Linked DNA regions of Arabidopsis thaliana. The protein of the gene in region 2 interacts with the protein of the main gene of each other region in a biochemical or structural test. Each region holds a gene or a part of one and is shown on either strand. Other genes may lie near its edges.

What was found. Proteins that work in one complex are often made in the same cells at the same time.
Region 1: the proteins of PTAC12 (region 2) and PIL6 form a complex in vitro, tested with the Arabidopsis thaliana proteins (one study listed by BioGRID).

The regions. Positions count from the first base shown.
Region 1 is NC_003074.8:21,829,143-21,832,900, forward strand, and holds the start of PIL6 (phytochrome interacting factor 3-like 6), read right to left. Parts: upstream 1,696-3,758; 5' UTR 1,040-1,695; exon of another isoform or gene 761-1,039; 5' UTR 754-760; coding exon 683-753; intron 562-682; coding exon 1-561. Other genes in the region: AT3G59070 (Cytochrome b561/ferric reductase transmembrane with DOMON related domain-containing protein), read right to left, coding at 3,222-3,416. UniProt on the Arabidopsis thaliana protein: Transcription factor acting negatively in the phytochrome B signaling pathway to promote the shade-avoidance response. Regulates PHYB abundance at the post-transcriptional level, possibly via the ubiquitin-proteasome pathway.
Region 2 is NC_003071.7:14,583,181-14,586,938, forward strand, and holds the start of PTAC12 (plastid transcriptionally active 12), read right to left. Parts: upstream 1,618-3,758; 5' UTR 1,365-1,617; intron 1,187-1,364; 5' UTR 1,166-1,186; coding exon 1,082-1,165; intron 965-1,081; coding exon 284-964; intron 194-283; coding exon 81-193; intron 7-80; coding exon 1-6. UniProt on the Arabidopsis thaliana protein: Involved in plastid gene expression. Acidic transcriptional coactivator necessary for the transactivation of many PIFs target genes (class B genes), particularly during the regulation of hypocotyl growth.

The DNA.
Region 1 (3,758 bases), on a different chromosome or scaffold from region 2:
ATGGTTACACTTGTTCCACTAACGGTTTCTTTGTTGTTCCTTCCATAGCTGCAACCGGAGGAGCCACCTGACGAAGTGTCAAGTCTTTCTTCGACGTTCTTGCTTCTATCACTCATAGAAACCGGAAGTGTAGTGGCCTGATGAATATTTGTTGACTGGTTGCTGCCGCAATGACTCGGTCCGACTGTTATAACCGAGGATCTAAACTTAGGAGGAGCCATGGCTTGAGCCTCATGCTTAACTGTCTCTTCGATCGTTCGTGGCTTCTCAGGACCTCCGAGGTGATCGATCGAAGAGAAGAAATGAGAGGAGAACTCGGATTCGAAAGGGTCGATGACGTCATCCGGAGGGTATTGTATCCAGGAGACGGTTTCTTGATCATCTAGAGCAGCGTAGTTAGGCTTTTGTACTGTTTCTTGGTTGTCAAGAAAAATATTGTTGGGTTTTCTTAGGGTTTCTTGTTTGTGGGTTTGGACTTGGACTGACGGTTCTCTACGAGCTTGGCTTTGTAAAACCACTTGACCATCTCTCCACAATAGCTCCACTAATTCATCTTCTGGTCTGTCCCAACATATGAATGTTTACAAACATATTTTAAACAAACAATACTTAAATAGCTATGATTAAGATGTGAAATTGGTATATAATTATGAAATACTTGAATTGGAAAATTGATATATACCTGATTGATCTTTTATTAGTGGACATGTGAAAATTATCTTCAAAATTCCAATCAGCAAACACTTGTTCCATGTCAGATCTGTAAAGACACTTAAATAAAGAATATATTACTTTTTTGTAAGTGAATAAGAAATGATTTGATTCATAATTAGTATAATGATTAACAGGAGATTTGAGGAAAAAGGATGATGAAAGCAATCAACTTAGAAAAGATTATTCGAAATCCCAACAGTTTAATGATTAGAAAATAATTAAACCAAACAACCCTCTCCAACAATCTAGGAGGAAATGATTTAATAAAGCAACTAATTCTATATATAGTAAACTCTTACTAAGGGGAAGCTATAAAAGTAATTACCAGATTTAGAAGCCTCTGAATGGATGGAAGATTTAGCTATATCAGTTTTTTTTTATTGCTTCACACGTAACAAAAATCGAGCAAGGAGGGACAAAAGAAGAACAAAAGATTCTATCTCCAAAACCTTCTCGGTTTTATCTCTCTTCTAGATAGGGAATTGTTCTGAAACTGAGGGAGTAAAGTTGAAACAGAACAGTAACACAGAGAGAGAGAGAGAGAAAGAAGAAAGAGAGGCTAAGGTTCTTCTTGCCAGGTTCAGACAGAAAGGGACAAGAGCTAGAGGAGGGAAGCAGAGAGATTATTACGGTAAGTAAGCGAGTGAGCGAGGGGGAGATAATGATTCGGTGGGGGCAATAGTACTGAAACTGATCAGGATGACCGACACGTGGCGAATTGTCAGACAACTAGTTAAAGAGTTAGTGAGACCCACCAACTCGGTTGGATTTTGTCTGTGAAGTTGAGAGAGATCTATTGCTCGATTTCTAGAGGTGGGTTTCTGATCTGTACCTTATCTGCAACACTCTTTGAGTCTTGACCAATGATTAAGGGTGTTTTTGTCAAATCATAACACCCCTCTTATGCTTCTCTTTCAGCGAATAGTATCTCTAATAATGGTAAACAAAAAACAAATTGAAGTTCTCTATTTTCTACGATGCTTCGATGAGTTTATATCATCATCTACTATATGAATATATGAACCGTTTTATAATCATCTGAATTCAATTTCATGTCAGAGTCTCATTAAAACCCGAGCGGAAATAATCTTGAGAAGTCATCATTTTTTCCCCCGGCAAATTTCCACATCGCATTTATTTCACGTGTTGACTAGTTAAAGCTACCATCGTAAGTTTTTGTGTTATTATCATTCTCTAAACAACTGCAAGTTTATACATATAACTTTTAGTTGATTGTGAATTTGGAATTTATTAATTATACACAAAATTTTGGATATTAATAACAGTTTTGAACCTAAATATGCAATCACAAATTCACAATGTCGTAATAAACCGTGGACCGTTGTGACTTGTTTGTCATGGACCACAGACAAACAATGGTCCACCAAAATTATGATCACATTAATTTCCGATCCTTATCACAATAATTTAACAGTAGATCAGTTTCTAACCCTTATCACATCAATCTTATCGTTTAATGTGCATAACCCCTACCGATCTAATGATAAACAAACATATTATTAGTATGATAAATTCATGAATATATTACATTGCAACTTACAAGTAGACAGACAGACATATATAGTGGGTGCATTTGTGAAGAAAGCATCCACCGAAAGGAGACATTTCCCTTTAAAAGTCTTTGGCCCTCATTTGCTTTTTCCACGAAAGAGACGAGGTCGTAATAGCGTCCATTCAAGGCTATAGAAGGCCATGAGCCAAGTAACTCAGTTTTTGTTTCCAGCCATAGAAATAGTAATTTAGTGCAAAATATGGAATTTAAATATGAGTAGTTTAGTGAAAATTGCTGAATAATAACACTTTTTCTTCCGTATGCAAGTTTTTTTTTTTTTTGATAAATTATTTTGTATGCAAGTTGCTATTTGCTAGTTGGATGAATTAAGTTGATAGATAGATTCGTTCGTCGTGGACGATACATGTAAAACGTTGTTATCCCAATCAAGCAAAGAGGAACACGGTTACACAGATGCCAGCCATAAATCATAAAACCCCAAAACCCTTCGATTGCTATTTTATTTTTCTTATAATTTTTGTTTGCATTTGACTCAAATGATGTCGTTGTATTTGAATTTATAACTCATGTCGACATATAAGTCGTCGCCTAGTTGGATAATTAATTCCATCATCTTCTAAACCGATATATGAATTAATTCTATGCATATACATTAGATTTCGACGAAGGAACGAATCTATCAATCATCATTGATTAAGGAACCATATACATACATTAAATATTTATGAATATGCATATTCATAGGATGAAGATAACATCACATTAAATAGAATGACATTAGCAAATTGAATTTATCAGAAAAGGCCCAAAAGTTTTAAGTCATGTCATATAACAGATATTGTACTGTGTTGTGGAGATGCGTTATTGGGCCTAAGATACGGCCCAGTTTAGTCCGAAAAATACAAATTTATCAGAGAAAAGGGCCGAACAAAACGTCAAAACCCTAACTCTATAAGAGACCGTTCTGAAACATTCAGGCGGCGGTGGCGGCGATGGAAGTAGACGGATGGTGGTAGGAATGAAAGGCTAGAAGCGGCGGAGAAGTATGTGGATAAGAAATAACAAAAACTGAGGGGATCATGAAGTTCTTCGTTATATTATAGTTTTCAATCTGAATTTCAATTCCGCCGCTCGCCTTTTTCCTCTCCGCCTTTTCCGTCTCTCCGATCTGCTCCCGCCGCCGACCTTGTGATGATTATAGCTCTGAAGGTCCATACAAGGATATTCAAATCTCACTTCTTGTAGAATAGAAATTTCGAAAGTTATTATTGAATAGAAGAACTTTTATTAGTCAAGATTGCAAAATATTTTTATATTCTTTGTGCACTCCTGAAATACACATTCACGAATTTATAGATCCATTTGTTAGCTTAATTAAACTCTAAAGTTCAATGTCTTTTTTTCTTTGGTGAGTTTGTCTGGGAAGTAAAAAAAAAAGTTTTGATCAGACACTCAAATTTTGAGTATCATTCTTTAACATTCAGAATATCAATTTTGAGTATCATTTACA
Region 2 (3,758 bases):
TGCAGCCTGAGAGAAAGAAAACTCGAAAGAAAATCCTAATAAAACAGATTTTCACTTGAAAGTTCGTTAGATCAATATACCTCTCTTCCTTGAAAAGATGCCTTCTTGCTCTATAAAGAGAAGTTTCTGTGAGTGTTGGTTCTTCCCCATAGAGCTTCACTTGTCCTGTTTCTGCCATTGCCTTGAGGAAAACCTGCATCAACAACAAAAAAAAATACCATAATGGATCAAACATTGGGGAAACACACACATGTTTAAACCTGAAATCATTGTGATGACTAACCGTTTCAACATCAGGACGTCTTCTTTGCCATCTTGACCATTGTTCTTTCTCCGGTTTCCTCCAGTTCCACCACGATTCATCGCTCGTGAGTGTCTTTTCAATTTGTTTCTTTTTCGTAGGATCAATGAAAGGATGTGGCCTTCCAAGCTTTTTGTCTAATTCAAAACCAGTCTCCTCTTCTTCTCTCTCAAATTCATTCTTATAGGTAACAAACCCATCCGAGGAATCATTTTCCTCTTCTTCAGAGCTATCCTCAGAATCGGATACTTCGTCATTCGTTTCAACAGTCACATTCTCCTCAGTAGCTTTCCTATTCTTCTTTCTCCTACTTCCAGGATTCTTTCCATAGGAAGGAAAACTCGAAGACTCACCAGCTGGTTGAGGAGCTCTAGCAGCTCTAACCCGGCTCGAAGTTCCTTCAGGCCAATAATCCTCACCTGGAATACTAGCCCGAGCCCCGGACGCTGGCTCAAGCTTCCCAGAAGTTGAATCCATATAACTATGGTAAGGATGCCTCTCAACAGTCACATACTCAAATCCTTCTTCACTCTTCTTAGACCCTTCACTTACATCACCATCTCCATCCTCTTTCTTGCATTTGATACAATGTCGCAAAGACCGATCCCTAGAAGTAATCCCAGCATGCAATGTCTTGAGTGGAAACCCACATTTAACCCGTCTCTACATACATAAACAAACTTTTACCAGTTTGACATCTTGAAACAAGCTAAAATGTTCACTATCTCTAAATTAGATAAGTTTGGATCAGAACAAGAAACTTGATGTGTAAGAACCAACCTGCACAATACAATTACTGGACTTTCCACTGTCTGTGCATACTTGACCTCGGTAGAGCCAGGTGGTGGTTGATATTGACGCCATTTACACTCTTTCTACTTCTCACTGTATCATTTACAAAAACAACCGATTCAATTATGCTCAGAATCAGTTTCAAACTAGTACAAAACATAAAACCCAGATAAGAAGAACCTGATACAACAAATTGTCCATAACAAGGTACGATTTTTTTGGGCATTTTTACAAACGCTTCACACTCGAAGTTGAGGAGAAAAAGACTAACCTTTTTGTTTTACCAGGAGATTATGTAGGAAGAGGGTTTTCTATCATGGAGCTTGATTTTGAAGGGGGTTTTGGCTTCAAAAGGTTTTCACTTGTCAGTTTTTGGGTTTATCCATTTATCTCCTCCTGCGTTTATTAACATATTCTGGTGACGGCAAAATCTCTAGATTTCACGACGCGCCGGTATTAGAACGGGAATTTGTGAAGAGAAAGTATATGGGCTTGGTATATCTAACTAAGGCCCAGTATTAATGGATCTTTGAGAAATTGTGAGCTTGAAGTCTCTCTTGGGCTTTAACAAACACTTCCAAGAAGAACAAAACATCTTTTTCTTTTTTGGCAAAACATCTTCTAAACAGTTTATTATATTGATATACTTTCAAATAAAATCAATATGTGATTTGATCATTTAAAACATGCCTTAACACAAAAGATATATGGAAGAATGTTTATCGAAGTATGCATGTGAACACATCTTAGTTTTGTTAATAGATTTGCAATTTACAATTGCGATTATACAATTTTTAGATAGTTCTCTCCGTAATGGATTAATATAGTGGACTAGAGGAACATGTTACACAAAAAACATCAATCATTGTACCTTTAAGTGAATAAATACTTGTATATGATTTGTACTTCAGCGTGTGTACGTACTTGTCTAAGACACTATAGAAGGAAGAAGGTTTGGACCCAACGTGAATGGCAATTGGCTAATGTGCTAATATGGTCTGAACCAATATTAAATGGGTCTGACCAGACACATCATAGACATTACGGTATCTATCACAGGCCTATTTTAACCTAATATCCTACACTTTTTATACATTAATACTACTATTGCTTACTTCAAACTTGCTAAACGACGATAATATTTATTTCTAGGGACCAAACATATAATTGTTTTTTTGGTTTTCTGAAATTTGGCAGACGTAGACCACGTAAGACTATACCACAAAGGTCTGACTAGGCACAAGTTTCGCTGACCCGCACGCGCCTAACGTCACCTTTTGAACTATTCGTGCAACGAGCGAGACTATCCATGCGGCGTCGTTTTTTCCCAACTTCCTCTTCCTCTCGTATTGTCAAACGGTCAAACCTATACTCCTACATAAGAAAAAAAGAATCAGCAGCATATAATAGCAACATTTGAAACTTCATAAGCATATATAAAGCTAGAGATGCAAACTAAAGACAAACAATATAGCAGTTTCGAATTATATAATAGATACAATAAATAAAAAAATAAAAAAAGAATAACAACCTTTTATCAAAAATAATACTGTAATAATAATAATTTGGATACTATTACTATCTTTTCGAGTTTGCTATTTTACATAAAACAATATGTCAGGGAAAAGAATCTCAAAGCACTAAAAAAAACTGTAATTTGATGCTTTTGGTGACCGTTAATAAATGAGTGGCTAATTGGAAATCTCGTCAAACTTTTTCTGCGACATAATTCACTTCCACAAGTAATTGGAACAGAATCTCACAAGTGGCGACGTGTACTTACCTCCACATGGCACCTATCCGTTCGCTAAAAATATACTCCATGTATAGATGTGTGTAATATTACATGTGTATAAAAGCGACGACGAGGATAATCACCTCGATGAGTATTTGAGTAGATGTGGACTTGTCATGAACATTTTAGCAGAGAGACAATGCATGCATACAAACAGAGAACTAACAAATTTCTTTAGTTTTTTACCATTCGTAACTTAAAAAGTTTATTCTTTATTTACTTGTAATACACTTTTGTTAAATGTTACATAGAATAATCTCCGATTTATACATTATTTGATCAGTGATCATAGTTACTAGTATCTATTAGTTTATGGTATGTTTTGCCACTGTTGTTCAACAATGTTGCAATTCTTACAAAATTCTTGAATCAACATTCTTTTTAACAATCAACTATCGGTTAAAAATATGAACTAATAGTATATGAGCTGCTGGTATGTTTTTCTACCAAAAATCAGATATTTTTCTTTGTTTATTGCATTATGATTAATCTAAACACTAACTAAAATTAGTAGTATTATTACTGATGAAATAAAACAAAGGAGTGGTGGGGCAGAGGGAGGACAAGAACGGGACAGTGGCATAAATCAGACTGGTGAAGCTGTCCCTTGTGTTGTTGGGTACATCCCATGTGTTGTCACACTTCTCTTCTTTCTATTATAGTATTAATCAAGATCTAACAAATCATGTTATTTTATGTGTTTTCAATTATTAATCACAATTATTCTATACTCCATTCATTTCAATTGTTCACCGTCACAAGCTTGGTCCGATGATACAAAAAATTGTTATTTAATGTACATATATATAGATATACCCGATCACCTACTATGTTCCCTTGTTTTTGTGTGGTAATGAGACAAATATCAAG